Linked DNA regions of Callithrix jacchus. The protein of the gene in region 1 purifies or fractionates together with the protein of each later gene. This does not show direct contact. Links are inferred from orthologs where the notes say so. Each region holds a gene or a part of one and is shown in the gene's direction. Other genes may lie near its edges.

Region 1 (5,891 bases):
AGAGAAGCTTGCTCCTAGTGGTGTAGAACACACACTTGTCTCCAAGAAGCTACACTCAGCCAGAAAATCACAATGACAGGCAAGGATGCTGATTTTCATCAACACACACACATGGTGTAGGATGCTTGGTACTTCACCATTGTTGTTACAGCTCTGGGCCCATGATGAGTCATTATGGTTGTACATTCACAGATATGCCTTTGTGGCTGAACAAGTTAAAAGCAGGTGGCTCATGCCGGTAATCCCAATACTCTGGGAGGCCAAGGCGGGTGGATCACTTGAGGTCAGGGTTCAAGACCAGCCTGGCTAATATGGTGAAACCTCATCTCCACTAAAAATACAAAATATTAGCCAGGAGTGGTGGCCAGGGCCTGTAATCCCAGCTACTCAGGAGGCTGAAGCAGGAGAACTGCTTGAACTTGGGAGGTGGAGGTTGCAGTGAGCCGAGATTGTGCCACTTGCACTCCAGCCTGGGCGACAGACCAAGACTCTGTCTCAAAAAAAAAGAAGAGAATTAAAGAAAGGATGTTTGCACAACTGAAGCAAAGTAAATACTTATGTAAATACCAGATTAAAAGAAAAAGAAAGAGGAATTGGGCATGTCAGAGTGAGAGAAAGTGGGAGAGGTTGAGGAAACATGAGATTCTAAAAAAAAAAAGGCAATAAGTACTAGCATAGCTTTGCTAATCTTGGAAATGGTGGCCAGAATTGTCTGCGGTTTAGCAAATGATGATAGCCAGCTAATAATCCTAATTACCCTAGAATCTTCCTTTAGAAGTGCCACAAAGCTGTAGGAGGTATGCTTATCTGCCTTGCTTGTGACACAAAAATGGAAGCATAGTTAATATAATAGATGAGAAACGCATGACTCAGAATGATTTTCAATATTGGAATGTTGGGAATCTATGGAAGGTATTTTTGTGTAAGGACAATAGGACTTGTTTAAAAAGACTGGAGAGTTGGGGGCATCCCATATGTGTGAGAAGCAGTACCGCTAGTGGTCAGAAGCAGGTTTGCTGGAGCCAAGGTGCCTGGGTTCAAAGCTCACCTCTGCTCCGTTAGCTGCACAACCATGGGCTGCTTTCGAGCCTTGCTGTGCCTTGGATTCCCCACGTACTCCATAAGGCTGTTGCAGGAATTAAATGAGTTAATAGTAGTCAACAGCTCTGAACAGTGCTTGACCGAGTCAGCCCTACCTTAGGTTTAACTTAAGGGATGTAGCCCTGGGTCCCCTAAGGGAGTGGCCACACTATTCACAAACACGAACGCAGTAAGCGCCCAAAGGCTCTATCCTCACCAACCTCCTCAGCTGGACCCGACAGAACTGTCTCCCAACTGCTCCCGGGCTCTCCCGAGGAGCTGTGCGGAACCAGCTTGCCTTACATCAGGCTTTACCTTCTCCGCCCGTTTTGGGATTTAACAAGTACGAGAAAGGGCTGCAGGGGAGCCGCAAGGGCCTCCTCAACACCACGCGCGCGAGGACGGGGTAGGGGAGAGGGCGCTTGACCTGCTCCATACCCGCAGCCAGGGCATGCCCCACACGCGCGCTTCCCTCCTCCTCTGCGTGTCTCGCCGAGACCCGGGACCCCTAGACTCCTGGATCCTCTAGAGCCTCTGAACCCCTAAACCCCCATGCATTACCCAAATCCCAAGACCCCAGACTTCCCAACCCTGGCCCAGGGCAGTGGCTAGGGGCCTGAACCCGCGTCCAAAAACCCGGAGGTTTTTGTCGGGAGTCCTCGCTTTACACAGCAGGAATTTAGTCTCCGCGCGCCCCCTAAAATCCGGGCGTCCTCTCCCCGACGCCCTCACCCACGGGGCCCCCACACGCCCTTCGTGGCTGACCTCCAGGCCGGGTGGGTGCGCTGTGCGACGCGGAAAGCGCCATAGAGGACGCAGGACACGTTGGGCTGAGCTCTCGGAAGTGACGCACCAGCAGCGCCCGTCGGCGGAAGTCCCACCTTCGCCCGATAGCGGAAGTTCCGGGAGTGCCCCGTCCCCGCGTGCTTACGGCAGCCGGCATGGCGCACTACAACTTCAAGAAAATTACGGTGGTACCGTCCGCCAAGGTAGGTGGCTGCGGGAGGGCCACTCCGACTTAGCGGGGTCGCCGGCGAGTGTCCGGACCTGTAGCCGTGGGAGACCGCTCCCGGGCCCGACCTGCTGGCCGCGTACTCGTGATCATTTCCCCTCCCCCTACAGAATCCGGGGTCCACCAGAGATCGGACCCCCCCAGAGACCCGGGTCCACCCAAAGACTGAGGTCCGCCCAGAGAGACCCGGGTCCCCGGAGATCGAGGTCCGCCTACAGAAGGGTTCTCTGGAGGGGCCCCAAAGGTGACGAGGTGGGCGAGTGGAGGCGGACCCCGACATGTAAGGGAGAAGCACTCGGTGGTTGATGATGAGCCTTTGGGTTCTGGGTTTGGCGTAGCCCCCTCCTCTCTCTGGAAGCCTCGGTTCGTTGCTCTCGTGATTTAACATTTCTTAATTTTTAAATCATTCTCTTTCACTGTTGGATTTGGGAATTCCTGTTCTTTTTCTGTCTATAGCAGGCCCAGACTAAATTCGTACAGCGTTGGTGTGTGTGGCAAGAATGAGTCAAAAAGTGTTGAGCATTAGGACTTTTTTTTATTTTTTGTTTTTTAAATTTTTATTTGTTTAAAGATGGGATTTCACCATGTTGGTCAGGCTGGACTTGAACTCCCAACCTCAGGTGATCCGCCCTCCTTGGCCTCCAAAGTGCTTGGATTACAGGCCTGAGCCACCACTCCCAGCCAGGACTTTCTTTTTGAGACTGAGTTTTTTGCTCTTGTTGCCCAGGGTGGAGTGCAATGGCCAGATCTCGGCTCACTGCAGCCTCTGCTTCCCAGGTTCAAGTGACTCTCCTGCCTCAGCCTCCCGAGTAGCTGGGATTACAGGCGCACGCCGCCAGGTCTGGCTAATTTTTGTGTTTTCAGTAGAGACGGGGTTTCACCATGTTGGCCAGACTGGTCTCGAACTCCTGATCTCAAGTGATCCACTTGCCTCAGCCTCCAAAAGTGCTGGGATTACAGGCGTAAACCATCACTCCCAGCCAGATTGTAGTATTTTCCAGTGCAGGAATCATATCTTCTTTTTATTTTTGATCAACCATATCTCAAGTTTGTTGATGGAATTTGCTCTTTGGATTATATGAACTTCGGTAATGTAATTGACTTATGTGGAGAACTTTGGAATATATTAGTACACCATCTGTTTTCTGTTTTGTGGAAAGATTTGTGTTTTAGAGAACAGATGACTTTACCTATCTGAAAAGGGTGATGGTAATTGTTTGGTAATTGGAAGTTTAAAAAAATTACACCAGGAAAGTTTGGGATTCAGTTCGTCCTAGAAGATGTTAAGTGAACGCCTGTCCTGTGCATCAGGTACTGTGTTACAAAAAATGCATAAAATACCTGGAAGTCATTTGGAAGTCATTTTCAAGAGGGGTAAGCAGAATCACTTTTGACCATAATAGAAATAAAACATGGTTATCATGGAGGACACACATGGATTGGGAGAGGATAAGAGTGTAAGTAGCTGTGGTTAGTATGAGAGTCAAGGGCAACCTCCTGAAGTAGGTAACATTTGAACTGTGCCTCCTTCAGGATGTGTGAATACCATTAGGTGCAGAAGAATGTAGGGGAGATCTTGTGTAGGCCCAGAGGGGAGAATGTGCGTGCCCCTCATAGTACGATACTTGGCAGACGATTGGTACGATACTTCTGTCACTGGACCCTGAATTCCTTGAAGGGACAGTATCTTGTTCATTATGTTCAGCACCTGAGTATCCCAACAACCTTTGTATGAAATAATACTGAATCAAATTGTTGAATTAATCAAAGTGTTCAAGAAAAAAGATCAAGTAATTTTGTGTGCCTAGGTAGTGGCTAGATACATCGGATTGAGAAATCCTTGGGATCGGATCCTTATTAAAGAGAAGTGCTGACTCTTTGCACTGGGAAACTCATTAAAAATCCTTCATCTCCTCAAATAGTCCCCTTCCATGCTCTTAGGAAATTCTAAACAGTGGGTTTTAGTTTTACCTGTTATTTTATGTATTTTCAAAGTCCAAGATATGCGTAAAGAAATGGGAGGATTGTTTCTTTTTCTCAACTGTTTTTTCTAATTTATGGTTGAGTTCTCTGACTACTTAAGCTTCAAAGGTTCTTAGGTATTTGGAAATTAAGATAGCACCAAGAAATTATGGGGTAAAATTTATCTTAGCAGCCATGTGTTTCTTAAAGGCTAGAAACTGTAAAAATGAACAAGGTTGTATATGAAACAGTTAGAGTAAAATTTTGTAATTTAAAATACGTAGTACTGTAAGATGTCAGTGTTTTAAGAGGGTTTCAAATAAATGGATCAGAAGTAGATACTTTTGATTTAATTATGGCTTATTTTCTTTAATTGCAGGACTTTATTGACCTGACATTGTCGAAGACTCAACGAAAGACTCCAACCGTTATTCATAAACATTACCAAATTCATCGCATTAGACATTTTTACATGAGAAAAGTCAAATTTACTCAACAGAATTACCATGATAGACTTTCACAAATTCTAACAGATTTTCCTAAGTTGGATGTAAGTGACTTGGGGGACTCTATGTTTATGTAAATATGAGCCTTCAGGGAACCAGTGTTTAACCAGTTTTGTGTACTCATGTGACAGAAAGGGAGACAGGATAATTGACTTAGACTGCTCAGTAAGTTACTGGCAATGAACCATCTTGTTGAATTAATAAAAGTGGGAACAGAATATGGGTTTTTTGATTCTCTAATAGTCTCTCTTTCCTCCAACCAAACCCTGTCTAAGGGGGCACAAAGCTGCTTCTCAGGCTTTCTGTGTAATCCCTGAGCTTGCAGGGGTGAACCCAAGTGGTAATGGTAGCTGTGGGTTAGGAACGCAGAAGCTGACAGCTCGCTGGTGCATCTCCTTCACCCTCTTTTCAAGGGTTTTTTCCCTCCTCAGCTCAGCTTGGGTCAGTGGCATAAAGTCCACCACTGTTTGTGACCTTGTTGCTTCATTAGTGGATGACAGTCAGTTCAGTACTGTGTTCTTCTCTGGCAAGGTCACATGAGGAGCTATGCTTTTTTCATTAAGCCAGAAACCTTGAGCTCCCTTCTCTGCCACACATTGCAGTTTGCCTGTTTCTTTTTTTTTCTTTGAGACTGAGCCTCACTTTCTTGCCGAGGCTGGAGTGTAGTGGTGGGCGTAGTGTCGGCTCACTGCAACCCCTACCTCCTGGGTTCAGGTGATTCGTGTGCCTCAGCCTCCTGTGTAGCTGGGATTAGAGGTGCACACCATCATGCCTGGCGAATTTTTGGTAATTTTAGTAGAGATGGTTCCACCATGTTAGCCAGGCTAGACTTAATCTCCGGACTTCAAGTGATCCTCCTGTGTCTGCCTCTCAGAGTGCTGGATTACAGGCGTTAGCCACCATACCCAGCCTGCCTGTTGAGCTATAGAAAAGCAAGAGCAGAAACTGATTGGCAGGCACTGCTGACAAAGCCTTGACACCGTGTATAGGGCAGTGTGGTTGCAAGATTACTTGAGGTTGTGAAGGGTGTGGGGATCAGCAGTATAGTCTTAAAGCCTAAATCTACCATTGCCCCGGAATAGTCCCTGAAGGTAGGTGGAGGCAGAGAAAAACATTTGGCTTCTGTGACAGTACTTTTTATTTAAACAAGTAATAATGACTTACTAAAAGACAAAAGTGCTTAAAATAAAAGGCAAAAATTCCTGCTAGAATTTAGAATTGACAGACACTTAGGTTGTATCTATCCAGGGTTTGATACAGTTGTTCAGTAGATGCTTCTTGAATGAGTGGATGGTTTCTTGGGAAAGGGAGAGAGTACCTGGGGGTAAGGA
Region 2 (5,986 bases), about 44 Mb from region 1:
CAAGATCAGCCTGGGGAACACTGCAAGGTCCCATGTCAAAAATAAATTTTAAAAATATATGTTTGTACAGCTGTAAAGGGTGTTTGTGTTTTACATTAAGTATTATTACAAGTCAAAAATTTTTTAAAAATAAAATGTAAAGTTAAAAAGCTGCATTAAGCTGAGGTTAAATTATTATTGAAGAAAGAAAAATATCTTATAAATGTAGTATAGTCTAAATGTACAGTGCTTATGAAGTCCACAGTAGTTGCACAGTAATGTCCTAAGTCTTTATATTTACTCACCGCCCACGCACTGACCAACTCCACAACAATTCCTAGTCCTGCAACATACGTTCATGGTAAGCGCCCTATACAGGTGTACCAGTTTTTATCTTTCACACCCCATTTTTACTATGCCTTTTCTATGTTTAGATACACAAATATTTACCATTGTGTTACAACTGCCTACAGTTTTCGGTACAGTAACACGCTGTTCAGGTTTATAGCCTAGGAACAGCAGGCTATACCACATAACCTAGGTGCGCAGTGGGCTAAACCATCTAGGTTTAGGTAAGTACGCACTACAATGTTTGCACAAAAGTGCATTTCTCAGAATGTATTCCCATCATTAAGTGATGCATACCTGTAATTCTTCTGTTTATTTTTCAATCTGAAAACTGTAGACCATGTGCAGTGGCTCACACCTGTAATCCCAGCACTTTGGGAGGCCAAGGCAGGTGGATCACTTGAGCCCAGGTGTTCAAGACCAGCCTGGTCAACATAGCAAAACCCAGTCTCTACAAAAAAATACAAAGAAACTACAGAAGTGTGCACCAGTAGTCCCAGCTACTGAGGAGGCTGAGGTGGGAGGGTCACTTGAACCTGGGAGGTTGGAGCTGCAGTGAGCTGTGATTGTACTACACTCCAGCCTGGGTTACAGAATGAGACCTTGCCTCAAAAAAAAAAAAAAAAACCTGAGTCCTTTGCCCCCTCTCATCAGCCTAGCCTGGCCCTGGGCACAGAGCAGGGTTACCCAACACACGAAGCAGCTAGGAAATGCCATTCATTCATTCATGAAAAGAGGCCAGGCACAGTGGCTCACGCCTGTAATCCCAGCACTCTGGCAGGCCGAGGCGGGTGGATCACGAGGTCAAGAGATCAAGACCATCCTGGTCAACATGGTGAAACCCCGTCTCTACTAAATACACAAAAAATTAGCTGGGCTTGGTGGCGCGTGCCTGTAATCCCAGCTACTCAGGAGGCTGAGGCAGGAGAATTGCCTGAACCCAGGAGGCGGAGGTTGCGGTGAGCCGAGATCGCGCCGTTGCACTCCAGCCTGGGTAACAAGAGCGAAACTCCGTCTCAAAAAAAAAAAAAAGAAAGAAAACTGCATTGACCTAGTATTCTGCAAAATTAGATACACATGTCACCTGCTATATATGTGTAATATACACATATGACATTTAAAATGTGACTTATGTTCTATTTGTCACACTGTCTGGCATAACAGGTACTCGACATATATGTGAATCAACTTTTCCAAGACAGAAAATACTTCAGAGGAGGAGAAATCTGAGCTGGGCCCTGAAGAATAAAGTGTAAATAGCAATAACAACAAGTAACATTTAGTGACATTCAATGAGCCAGGCATTGTGCTAAGTAAGTGGATTGTCTCATTCATTCTCACAAGCACTGTAGGAGATAATGGACTGTTACTAAACCCATTCTACAAAGACACCAAGGCACAGAGTGGTTATGTCACTTTCCCCAAAATCACACAACTCTTAATTGGCAAAATTCAAACAAAAGCAAGCGACTCCAGGGCCCTGAGGAGGACGTGGGTGGGTGAATGAATGAATGAATGAATGGCATCTTCTAGCTGCTTAGTGTTTTCGGCAATTCTGCTCTGAGCCCAGGGCCAGACTAGATTGAGAAGAGGGGGGAAAGGACTCAGTTTAGGACTTTCAAGAAGAAAGTCCTGTTCACATGTCTACAAGACACCAATTCGAGTAGGCATTAAAGTTCACTGACGGCTTGGGGACCTCTGACACCTGGTAGACCAGAAACTTGACAGTCAAAGAAATGGAACCTGACGAGAGGGAGGACGGGATCAGTGACCTCTGACCAGCAAGCACCCCAAGCATGACTGCATGGCAGGGCCGGCTTACACACAAGGATCAGCTTAGAGGGAACTCTAATACTTGGTTTAAAGCTCTGCTTCCGACGACTTTAAATCCTTAATAATTTTTGAACAAGGAGCCACGTTTTCATTTTGTACTGGTCCCGCAAATTATGTAGCCAATACGGCTACATGACAACCCCCCTCCCTTTAGCAGGTAGGAGACGGGTACTAAGGAAACAGCCACTTATCTCTCGAATATATTCCACACGTACGCACCAATCAAACTTGCCCACTTGATCTTCGTAGACCGCGGCCACAGAAATCAGCAGGGTAGCCCAAAGCCAGAAATAAGAAGCCCACTCCGCCGCCATAATGCGAGCGTAGGCACCGCCCGCCGCCGTCCCGGCATACACCGCGCCGCGGCTCCACCTCCGCGGGACCAAAGAGCTGGGACCTTGTATAAGGTCCTCGGTGGGACGCTCGGGGTTCGTGGGCCGCCTGAGTACGCAGGAAGACGCCCCACAGACGCAGGAGAAAGTGCAGGCGACGCCTCGGCAGAGACAGGCGGGCTGCAGCGCATATTGGGTCAGGCACACGCGAGGGGCAGCCCCCCGAGGGCCGTCCCAGAGGTCCCCGCGCCGCCGGGGTCTTAACGGGGTGCACCGTCTTCCGCCGCACGTGGATTCAACGCGATGCCCAAATCCAAACGCGACAAGAAAGGTGGGCGAAGGGAGCGTTGGGACTCTTTGGGGAACTTCGCGGGCTGGCTGCCCAGCCTGCAGTGAGGGCTTCGGGCGGCGGGGATGCAGAATAGGACGTCAGGAATATCTACGAGGTCTTCTGCTGCCTTGCTTTGTGCTGGAATGGGGGCTTCGGGGCTGTAGAACCGCCAGAGGGGGCTGATGCCTGGTGGTATCCAGAGAGCCGGGACGCTTTTGCCTAGTTTAAAGTGCTCTTGCAAGGCCAACTGGGCCGGGAGACAACACCTGAGCACCCCCCACTCGTTTCGGCCCACTTTTCCCAACCTCGGCCCTTTCTCAACTTCCTGCGCTCCCGCCACCCTGGCTGCCTTTCTACTTTCCCTTCTTCCAGCACAGGCTTGTTCAAGTTGTCGCATTGTGTATCTGCGGTTGTTTCTGCCTGGCATGCTTATCTCTTGCATGGCTTGTTCTTTCTTAGCTGTCAGTTAACAGGACCTCTCTGAGACAGTGTCTCGCTTCGTTGCCCAGGCTGAGGTGCAGTGGTGCGATCATAAGTCACTGCAGGCCGGGCACGGTGGCTTACGCTTGTAATCCCAGCACTTTGGGAGGCGAGGCGGGTGGATCATCTGATCTGAGGTCGGGAGTTCGAGACTAGCCTGGCCAATATGGTGAAATCCCATCTTTACTAAAAATACAAAAAGTTAGCTGGGTGTGGTGGCGGGTGCCTGTAATCCCAGCTACTTGGGAGACTGAGGCGGGAGAATCGCTTGAACCCGGGAGGCGGAGGTTGCAATAAGCCAAGATCACACCACTGCACTCCAGCCTGAGTACGACAGAGCGAGACTCCCTCTCAAAAATAAATAGATAGATAGATAGATAGATAGATAGATAGATAGATAGATAAAATAAGTCCCTGCAGCCTCGACCTCCTGGGCTTACGTGATCCTCCCACCTCAGCCTCCCGAGTAGCTGAGACTGCAGGCGCACACCACCACGCCCAGCTAATTTTTTGTCTTTTTAGTAAAGATGGGGTTTTACCATATTGGCCAGGCTGGTCTCGAACCAGGGTTTTTTTTTTTGTTTTTGTAGAGATGACTCTCGGTATGTTGCCAAGGCTGGTCTGGAACTCCTGGGCTCAAACAACCCTCCAGCCTCAGCCTCCCAACGTGCTGGGATTACAGGCGTGAGCCACTGCGCCCGACTTGAGCACCTCTTAAGAGACTATCTTTGGCCACCTTTGCTGTGGTGGCATCTCTCTCCACCCCTTTCCCTGGCATATTCAAAAATATTTAGGGATCTGTCACTTTCTAGGCATTGGAGGATACAGCAGTTACAACAAGGAAGGCTTATTTCTCATCAAGCTTAACGTTTTAGGGGAAACACATTCCACAAAATGCTAAAAATCAGACTGAGTAAACACGGGGTGAAGAGACGGCGATATTTTTTATAATGTGGTCAGGAAAAGTCTCACTGATGAGGTGACAAATGAACAAAAAATCGAAGAAAGGAAGTGAGCAACCTGTAGAATTGTGCACCTGTAGAAATACCTGGGAGAGTGCTGTTCCAAGTAGAGGGAACATGAAGTGAAGAGGCTCTGAAGTGGGAGCAGATTGGACATGTTTGGGACAAGAGGCCAGTGTGGCTGGACAGAAGGAGCCAAACAGAGTTGGGGGAGAGGGTTAGGCAGAGAGAGCAGCAGGTCTTCCTCAGCCTTGGTAAGGCTTTCCTGCCTAGAGTTCAAGCAGAAGATTCATGTGATTTACCTTTACTTGTAAAGGGTCACACTGGTTGCCCTAGTGGAGACTAGCTGGGGAAGACAGGTCAGAGGGCAGGGATGGAAGCAATGAGGCCAGTATTAATCCGAGAGAGGGTGATGCTGGCTTGGATCCCAAGGTATAACAGTGGAAATTATGGGAAGTGGCCAGCTATATTTCTTTTGCCCTCCTTGCTGGTGTGATTGTCCTTGTCTGTGGTGCCTTGTTAAGAGGGGCTGAGTGCCAGGCAGGTTAAAGAAGAGAGGCCGAGGCCCTTTTGTGAGAGGGCACCCAGGACTTTGCAGTTGGAGTTCTTTTAAGTGATTCTGGAACAATTTGATTCTGTGCAGAGGGCCTGGGTCAGGTCTGGCAAATGTCAGACTTTTTGGGTAAAGGGTAAATTGGACCCCAGTCATTTTTACAATAGAGGTAACATGTTCCTCCCCAGAGAGGTGTTGCTGCATCTGTGAGTCTACATTGCAAAACTGGAGCGCAGATACGTAACAGGAGGCTGAGCCCCAGACTCGCTGTTTTACCGCATAGGCCAGCGAGAGTGGCCTCTGCATCATGGTTGAGGGCAGAAAGGGGCTGGGTGCGGTGGCTCACACCTATGATTCCAACTGTTTGGGAGGTTGAAGTAGGCAAATCTGTTAAGCCCAGGAGTTCAAGACCAAGCCAGACAACATGGCAGAATTCATCTCTGCAAAAAGTAGAAAAATCACTTGGGTATGGTGGTGGATTTCTCTGGTCCCAAACAAAATGAGCAGACCATGATGGTGTGTGTCTGTAGTCCTGTGTGGGAGGATTGCCTGAGCCCAGGAGGTCAAGGCTGCAGTGAGCCGAGATTATGCCACTGCAGTCCAGCCTGGGTGGCAGAATAAGACCCCATCTCAAAAAAAAAAAGAGAGGCCTGTCTCAACTGGCAGGTGAGGTCTGCCACCGAGAGCACTCCCAGCAGCAGGAACAACCTTCACCCCTCACACTGTAACCAAGTTATTTGGGTCAGCCTGAGGAGCTAAAGAAAGGCCTAGTTTGTCTAAATAGCAGGATTTATATCCAGGGATCGTCAGGCCCAATAATGCTAATGAGTAGTCATTCCATGGGCCCTGGAATGGCTGTGTGTGCCAGAAATGATGGCCATGAAGGCCTTGCTGCCTTTTTTCAGTATGGCTGCATCCAACTGAAGTCTCCAGTGCATCTAGATTTGTCTCTCATCATCTCTCTCCTTCTTGTTTTCATTAGTCTCCTTAACCAAAACTGCCAAGAAGGGCTTGGAATTGAAACAAAACCTGATAGAAGAGGTAAGAGGTGGTTCTTTTTCTAGAGTTTGCAGTTGTTTGGTTTATAAAGGTAGGTATAGGACCGTTGGCCTGGAGAGCATACTAGTTGCGGGGGGAAATCTCCAAGCTGCTAATCCAGCCGTTTTTC
Region 3 (5,986 bases), on another chromosome or scaffold:
CTTTCCAAGCAAAGAGATTATATAACTTACTGTACCTGAAATATACAATGTTAGTTATTATCAGTTCTGGTTTTAAAGAGAATGATGAGATCCCCTCTAAAGACGGAGCCTTAAAAAACTGCCTCAAAGGCCCGGCGCAGTAGCTCAAGCTTGTAATTCAAGCACTTTGGGAGATTGAGAAGGTGGATCACCTGAGGTCAGGAGTTCCAGACCAGCCTGGCCAACATGCTGAAACCCCGCCTCTACTAAAAATAAAAAAAAAATTAAAAAATTAAAAAACTGCCGGGAGTGGTGGCGGGCACCTATATCCCAGCTACTCCGGAGTCTGAGGCAGAAGAATAGCTTGAACCCGGGAAGCAGAAGTTGCAGTGAGACGAGATCGCTCCATTGCACTCTAGCCTGGGCAACAAGAGCGAAACTCTGTCTCAAAAAAAAAAAAAAGCCTCTAAGCCGGGAGCTGTGGCTCACGCCTATAATCCCAACACTTCAGGAGGCCGAGGCGGCTGGATTGATTGTACCCCGGAGTTTGAGACCAGCCTGGGCAACATGGTGAAACCCCGTCCTACAAAAATTTTAAAAATTAGGCAGGCGTGGTGGCCCGCGCCAGTAGCTCTCTACGTTTGAGGCTGAGATCGGAGGATCGCTGGATCCCGGGATGTAGAGGCTGCAGTGAGCCGAGATCGCGCCACTGCACTCCAGCCTGAGCGAAATGCCGTCTCAAAAAAAAACCCCACAAAAACAAAACAAAATACTGCCTCAAGTCCAAGCACCAAAAATTAATGAAAGTATTCTTTTGCTACAGTTCTTTTCGCTCCAGTCAACTGAATCACGTTCCAAGCTGTGAATTAAGAGAACTTCTGCAACTGTGCAGTAAAAGGGCAAAATTGGCAGTGTCTTTAAGTGACGTACTTTCTTGTAGTGAATTACTTCCTGGCACTAGGGGGCACTAAATGCAAGTCCACTCAGCACTTGATTCGATGCACTAAAATACCTCAGGAATTTCTGAAATCAGCCCTGTACCTCCAAAAACCCAGAATGTTGTCTTTCTTTTCTGACAATTGCAAAAGCCCAGTAGTTCCACTTTTCCGTACGGTAAGTTTTCATTCCTCAGTAACCTTCACAATCATGCACACATTACCCACAGTGACCGGAACAACTTGAGTCGCCCTCCCGAAGGATAGAGAAAAATTTACAAGAGCTTCTGAAAGAAGCATTACACATAGAAAGAAACAACCAGTATTAGCCTTTCTAAAAATATACCAAAAAGTAAAGAGCATCAACATAAAGAAGAATTTACATCAACGAATGAATAAAACAGCCAGTTAACATCAAATGGCAGTAATCCTAAATTTAAATCGACTCAATCCCGTAATCAAAAGATACAGCCAAAACCCAACGGTATGCTACATCCAGACCCATTTCACATGCAAGGATACACAAAGACTCAAAACAAAGGGATGGAGAAAGATTTACCAACCAAATGGAGAGCAAAAATAAATAAATAAATAAAAAGCAGGAGTTGCAATTCTCGCATCTCATAAAATTGATTTTAAAGTAACAAAGATATAGTGGTAAAAGGATCAATGCAACAATAAGAGCTGACCATTCTAACAACCAGATACATAGAGACTAAGACTCAATGAGACAGAAAGTTAATAAGGATATCCAGGACTCGAACTCAGATCCTGAACAAGTAAACAATAATATTTATAGAGCTCTCCACTTTAAATACACAAAATATACATTCTTGTCAATACCACATCACATCTACTCATAGGTTTAAATGAAATTGATTGGCCATTATGAATACCCATTTTTTAGAATAAAGCAACATTTCTGTTCTCTCTCCCTCTTTTTCTTCCTCTTGCTTCCTCTCCTTCACTCCTTTTTTTTTTTTTCTTTCCTTCTCTCCAAAAAAAAAAAAAAAAAAAAAAAAAGATAAAAACTTCCCCACTGAGCGAACACCGAGGGGAGTCCGGAGATCGGAGGATCGCTGGATCCCGGGATGTAGACCCTGCTGTCCTCCTCCGTGGCTGGCTGTGTCCGTCGCAGCCTGGAAGGTCAGCTGTACCCAGCGCAGGACAGGGTCATAGGCCCGCAGTGTCTCAGAGCTTGGAGCGCTACTCACCTGGCATTAGGTTGCGTACCGCCGTCCAGCTAGTCACCGCTAGGTTGTTGAAGCAGGAGGCGCAGGTCGTGCCGAAGTCTGCAACAGCCTCAAGTCCCGTCGCCTGCCTGAACACACGACAGTGTACCTAAACTAAAGGAACGTAGGATTTTTCCGCTTTTCCGCCCTGAGCAGCCACCCTTCAACACTTCCGGCGGTGCACCGGCCAAACGCCGCCAGCCAGCAACTTCCGTTCTCCTAGCTGAACGCGGAAAACGGAGGCTCGGAAGTGCTGCGTGAGCTTGGTTTTCACTCGGCGGTTTAAAAAGATTACCCTTTCCTGTCGCGGCCTGCGTGGTGTCGGCTCTTGGGTTTCAGAGACCTGAATATTAAGAGCATTTTTACACCCCAGGGGCCGCTAGTGGCGACTCTGCGGCCATCACCATGGTAAGGAGGATGCCTCGGACGCTCGCGACATAGGGCGTCTCAGTTCATAGGACCTGAGGGTTCTAGGGAGCTGGGGCATGGGGTGAGTGGTGTTTGGCGGAAATGAGAACTTCTGAGGGAAAAAGATGGTGGACTCCTTGGGGTGGCCTCTGAGAAGTGGAAACAACTTCACGTTAGAGACACGGAGAGTATTTGCCGGAATACAAGCTTTGGAGCAAGACAGATTTTACTCTGTCTTGTTTTTTCTTTTTTATCCACTGCTAAGAATCCTACAAATTCCTGATTTCACTACAAGCGTGGTTATCAGCACCAGTCTAATGGGAATGTGGCTGTGCTTTGTTACAACCTTAGATGTTAATCCCTGACCCTTCATTTTACTGCTGAGGAAACTGAAGGCGTCCTTGCCAAAGATCAGGCAGCTAACGAATTGCGAAGCCGAGCTTAACGCTCAGATCTAACTGCCAGATCTTTTGTCTGTCTGCTACGTCTCTAATATGCGTTTCTTTGCACAGTGGCATTCCACACACCGTTCGTATGTGTGGAGTTGCTGCAAAGTTTATGTGATAGCACACCTTGTTGGTTGTTACTTAACATTTTTCTCTGTTCTGGACTTGTCTTTGTGTCATTTTTATTTTTGCAGTCTTAAAATACAAATAGACTTGCGCCTGTTTAAAACGCGTCTAAAATGCAAAAGCTTCCCATACATTGCTGCTGGAATGCAAAATAATACACTTTGGAAAACTGTCCGACATTAAACATATGTCCACATGAAGACTTAAATGCAGTTGTTTATTTTAGCTTTATTCATAATCAGCCCAAACTGGAAACAACCCAGATAACTATTAACTGGTCGCTGGGTAAATCAACAGTGGTATATCCATACGATAGCATACTACTCAACAATGAAAAGGATTGAAGTACCTATACCTGCAACAAATTGGATGAATCCCAAGAGCAAGAAAGCAGATGCAAAAAGCTATTTACTACTGTTGATCCCTGTTACATTCTGGGAAAGGTAAAACTATAGGGATAGGTATCAAATTGAGAGTTGGGAAGGAGGATCGACTTCAAAGTGACACAAGGCAATTTTAGGGGGAAATAGAAATTCTCTGTATTTTGATTGTGGTGGTTATAGAACTGTAGTCAGTCAAAAGTTAGAACTGCGCAGCTAGAAAGGACAAGTTTTACTGTGTATAAATTATGGTTCAATGAAAGTGACTTAAATTTTTAAAATAAAATTTGAAATGAAGACGTGATTTAAAAAGCAAATTATGTCAAGGAAAAAAGATCCTCTAATCAGGATCTAATAGATTTTGGACCATTCCCTACTGAGATTATTAGAGATGTAAGCGCTAAAACCTCATATTCAAGATCAAAATTTAACTGACAAAAATTTAACTTACATCATGTGAATAGACTTACTGGTGCAAGAATCATTTAAGTAAGTGAACATTTGGATGAAACAGGGTCTTAACTACTTTAGTGTATGTAAAAGAGTGCATTTTAGAATAATTGTCAGTACTTTAAAAAATTAAAATAACATTAATTGCATCATTATAGCCACAGAACGAATATATAGAATTACATCGTAAACGCTATGGATACCGTTTGGATTACCATGAGAAAAAGAGAAAGAAGGAAAGTCGAGAGGCTCATGAACGTTCAAAGAAGGCAAAGAAAATGATTGGTCTGAAAGCTAAGCTTTACCATAAACAGCGCCACGCTGAGAAAATACAAATGAAAAAGACGTAAGTGGTCCAATTTATTTGTAATAACAACTTAACAGCTTTTGAGTAATCATTATTAAAACAGATAATCTTGAGTATTTTTTCCTTCTTGGTAGTATCAAGATGCATGAAAAGAGAAACACCAAACAAAAGAATGATGAGAAGACTCCACAGGGAGCAGTACCTGCCTATCTTCTGGACAGAGAAGGACAATCTCGAGCTAAAGTACTTTCCAATATGATTAAACAGAAACGAAAAGAGAAGGCGGTAAGCAGTATTAATTTAAGTCTTTGTTTTGTTTAGGAGAATTACTTACATTCAAATTTGAGGTTCTTACTTCTTCAGTTTAATTTGAAAACACATGAAATACGACTATTATTCCCATTATTTAGATGTTGAAGTCTTGGTAAATTTAATAATAAAAATCTTGCTCTCTCATAAGGTTTTAGAATTTTTTTAAAAAAATTCTTAGAATGCCATATGAAATTAAAACAAAAAGTTAGTAAGGAGTGAATTTCAAACACAGTATTTGTCTTCCCATTTGAAAACCCACGACGTTATGCAGTCTTAAAGAAAAATACAAATGCTTCTTATTTGTGCTGCCCTGTAATGCCAAAATTAGTTAAAAATTAGAATGGTGGAAAACTCCTTAAGTGGTCACAAAAATGTGGCTTTTTTTAAACACCTGTGAACAGATTAGCAGAAATCCAGATAAAAGAATATGAGGTATCTATATTTAAAGAATTCTACTGCCTTACACGACTTCAGTTTTTTCATAGAATTTGTGCTCCAGGGAGGCATAAAACATCTGGTGAGGGCTTTGTCTTACTAGTAATCTACAAATCCATTTCGGGAAGAAATGCAAAGACATAAGAGGTGAAAACACTCTTCCAGTGTTATGCTATTAAACATACACTGCTTATAGCCATCACCATCGGCTGGGTGCAGTGGTTCATGCCTATAATCCCAGCACTTTGGGAAGAAGAGACAGGTGGATCACCTGAGGTCAGCAGTTCAAGACCAGCCTGACCAATATTATAATACCCCCACCTTCTACTAAAAATACAAAAATTAGGTCCAGCCTGGGCAACAGAGCAAGACTCCATTTCAAAATAAAAGTCACCATTATATTACAGATGGTATTTTTTTCACCCATAACACAGCATTAAGATTTTTTGCTTAAGCCAACAATTTATTTAATGTACCCATGATATATAAACTTAACTAGTTTTGTTTAATTTGCAGCTTGTGAGGAGTCAACACAGAGCTCTAGAAAAACAGTTGAGCCAAAAATGTGTTGATGGCTAAGCAAAAAAATGATCTACTGCTTTGTACAACTAAAGCATATTTGACTTATCATTGCCCTTTAAATACAAACTTTAACTGTGACATATTTTTAGGGAAAATGGGAAGTCCCTCTGCCTAAAGTCCGTGCCCAGGGAGAAACAGAAGTATTAAAAGTTATTCGAACAGGAAAGAGAAAGAAGAAGGCATGGAAGAGGATGGTTACTAAAGTATGCTTTGTTGGAGATGGCTTTACAAGAAAACCACCTAAATATGAAAGATTCATAAGGCCAATGGTAAGTTCTTGGAAGAGTATAGTGACCAAAATATTAGTTATCTTTGTTAAGTTGGATAAAGAACATTATAATTTCCCAAAATTCTTTAAATTGATGTGGAACAGGTTGAAAGATATTTTTGTGCT

Evidence for each region.
Region 2: the proteins of GTPBP4 (region 1) and MRTO4 purify together in Homo sapiens (affinity purification with mass spectrometry; 3 studies listed by BioGRID and IntAct, counting the BioPlex papers as one, with this or other methods). This does not show direct contact. The link is inferred for Callithrix jacchus from reciprocal best matches to the Homo sapiens genes GTPBP4 and MRTO4.
Region 3: the proteins of GTPBP4 (region 1) and NSA2 purify together in Homo sapiens (affinity purification with mass spectrometry; 3 studies listed by BioGRID and IntAct, counting the BioPlex papers as one, with this or other methods). This does not show direct contact. The link is inferred for Callithrix jacchus from reciprocal best matches to the Homo sapiens genes GTPBP4 and NSA2.

The regions. Positions count from the first base shown.
Region 1 is NC_133508.1:12,114,699-12,120,589, reverse strand, and holds the start of GTPBP4 (GTP-binding protein 4), read left to right. Parts: upstream 1-1,995; 5' UTR 1,996-2,021; coding exon 2,022-2,069; exon of another isoform or gene 2,070-2,455; intron 2,456-4,433; coding exon 4,434-4,604; intron 4,605-5,891. UniProt on the Homo sapiens protein: Involved in the biogenesis of the 60S ribosomal subunit. Acts as a TP53 repressor, preventing TP53 stabilization and cell cycle arrest.
Region 2 is NC_133508.1:56,163,844-56,169,829, forward strand, and holds the start of MRTO4 (mRNA turnover protein 4 homolog), read left to right. Parts: upstream 1-2,538; 5' UTR 2,539-2,795; coding exon 2,796-2,823; intron 2,824-5,800; coding exon 5,801-5,859; intron 5,860-5,986. Other genes in the region: EMC1 (ER membrane protein complex subunit 1), read right to left, coding at 2,380-2,474. UniProt on the Homo sapiens protein: Component of the ribosome assembly machinery. Nuclear paralog of the ribosomal protein P0, it binds pre-60S subunits at an early stage of assembly in the nucleolus, and is replaced by P0 in cytoplasmic pre-60S subunits and mature 80S ribosomes.
Region 3 is NC_133503.1:136,299,922-136,305,907, reverse strand, and holds the start of NSA2 (ribosome biogenesis protein NSA2 homolog), read left to right. Parts: upstream 1-2,442; 5' UTR 2,443-2,551; coding exon 2,552-2,554; intron 2,555-4,114; coding exon 4,115-4,302; intron 4,303-4,397; coding exon 4,398-4,548; intron 4,549-5,681; coding exon 5,682-5,861; intron 5,862-5,986. UniProt on the Homo sapiens protein: Involved in the biogenesis of the 60S ribosomal subunit. May play a part in the quality control of pre-60S particles.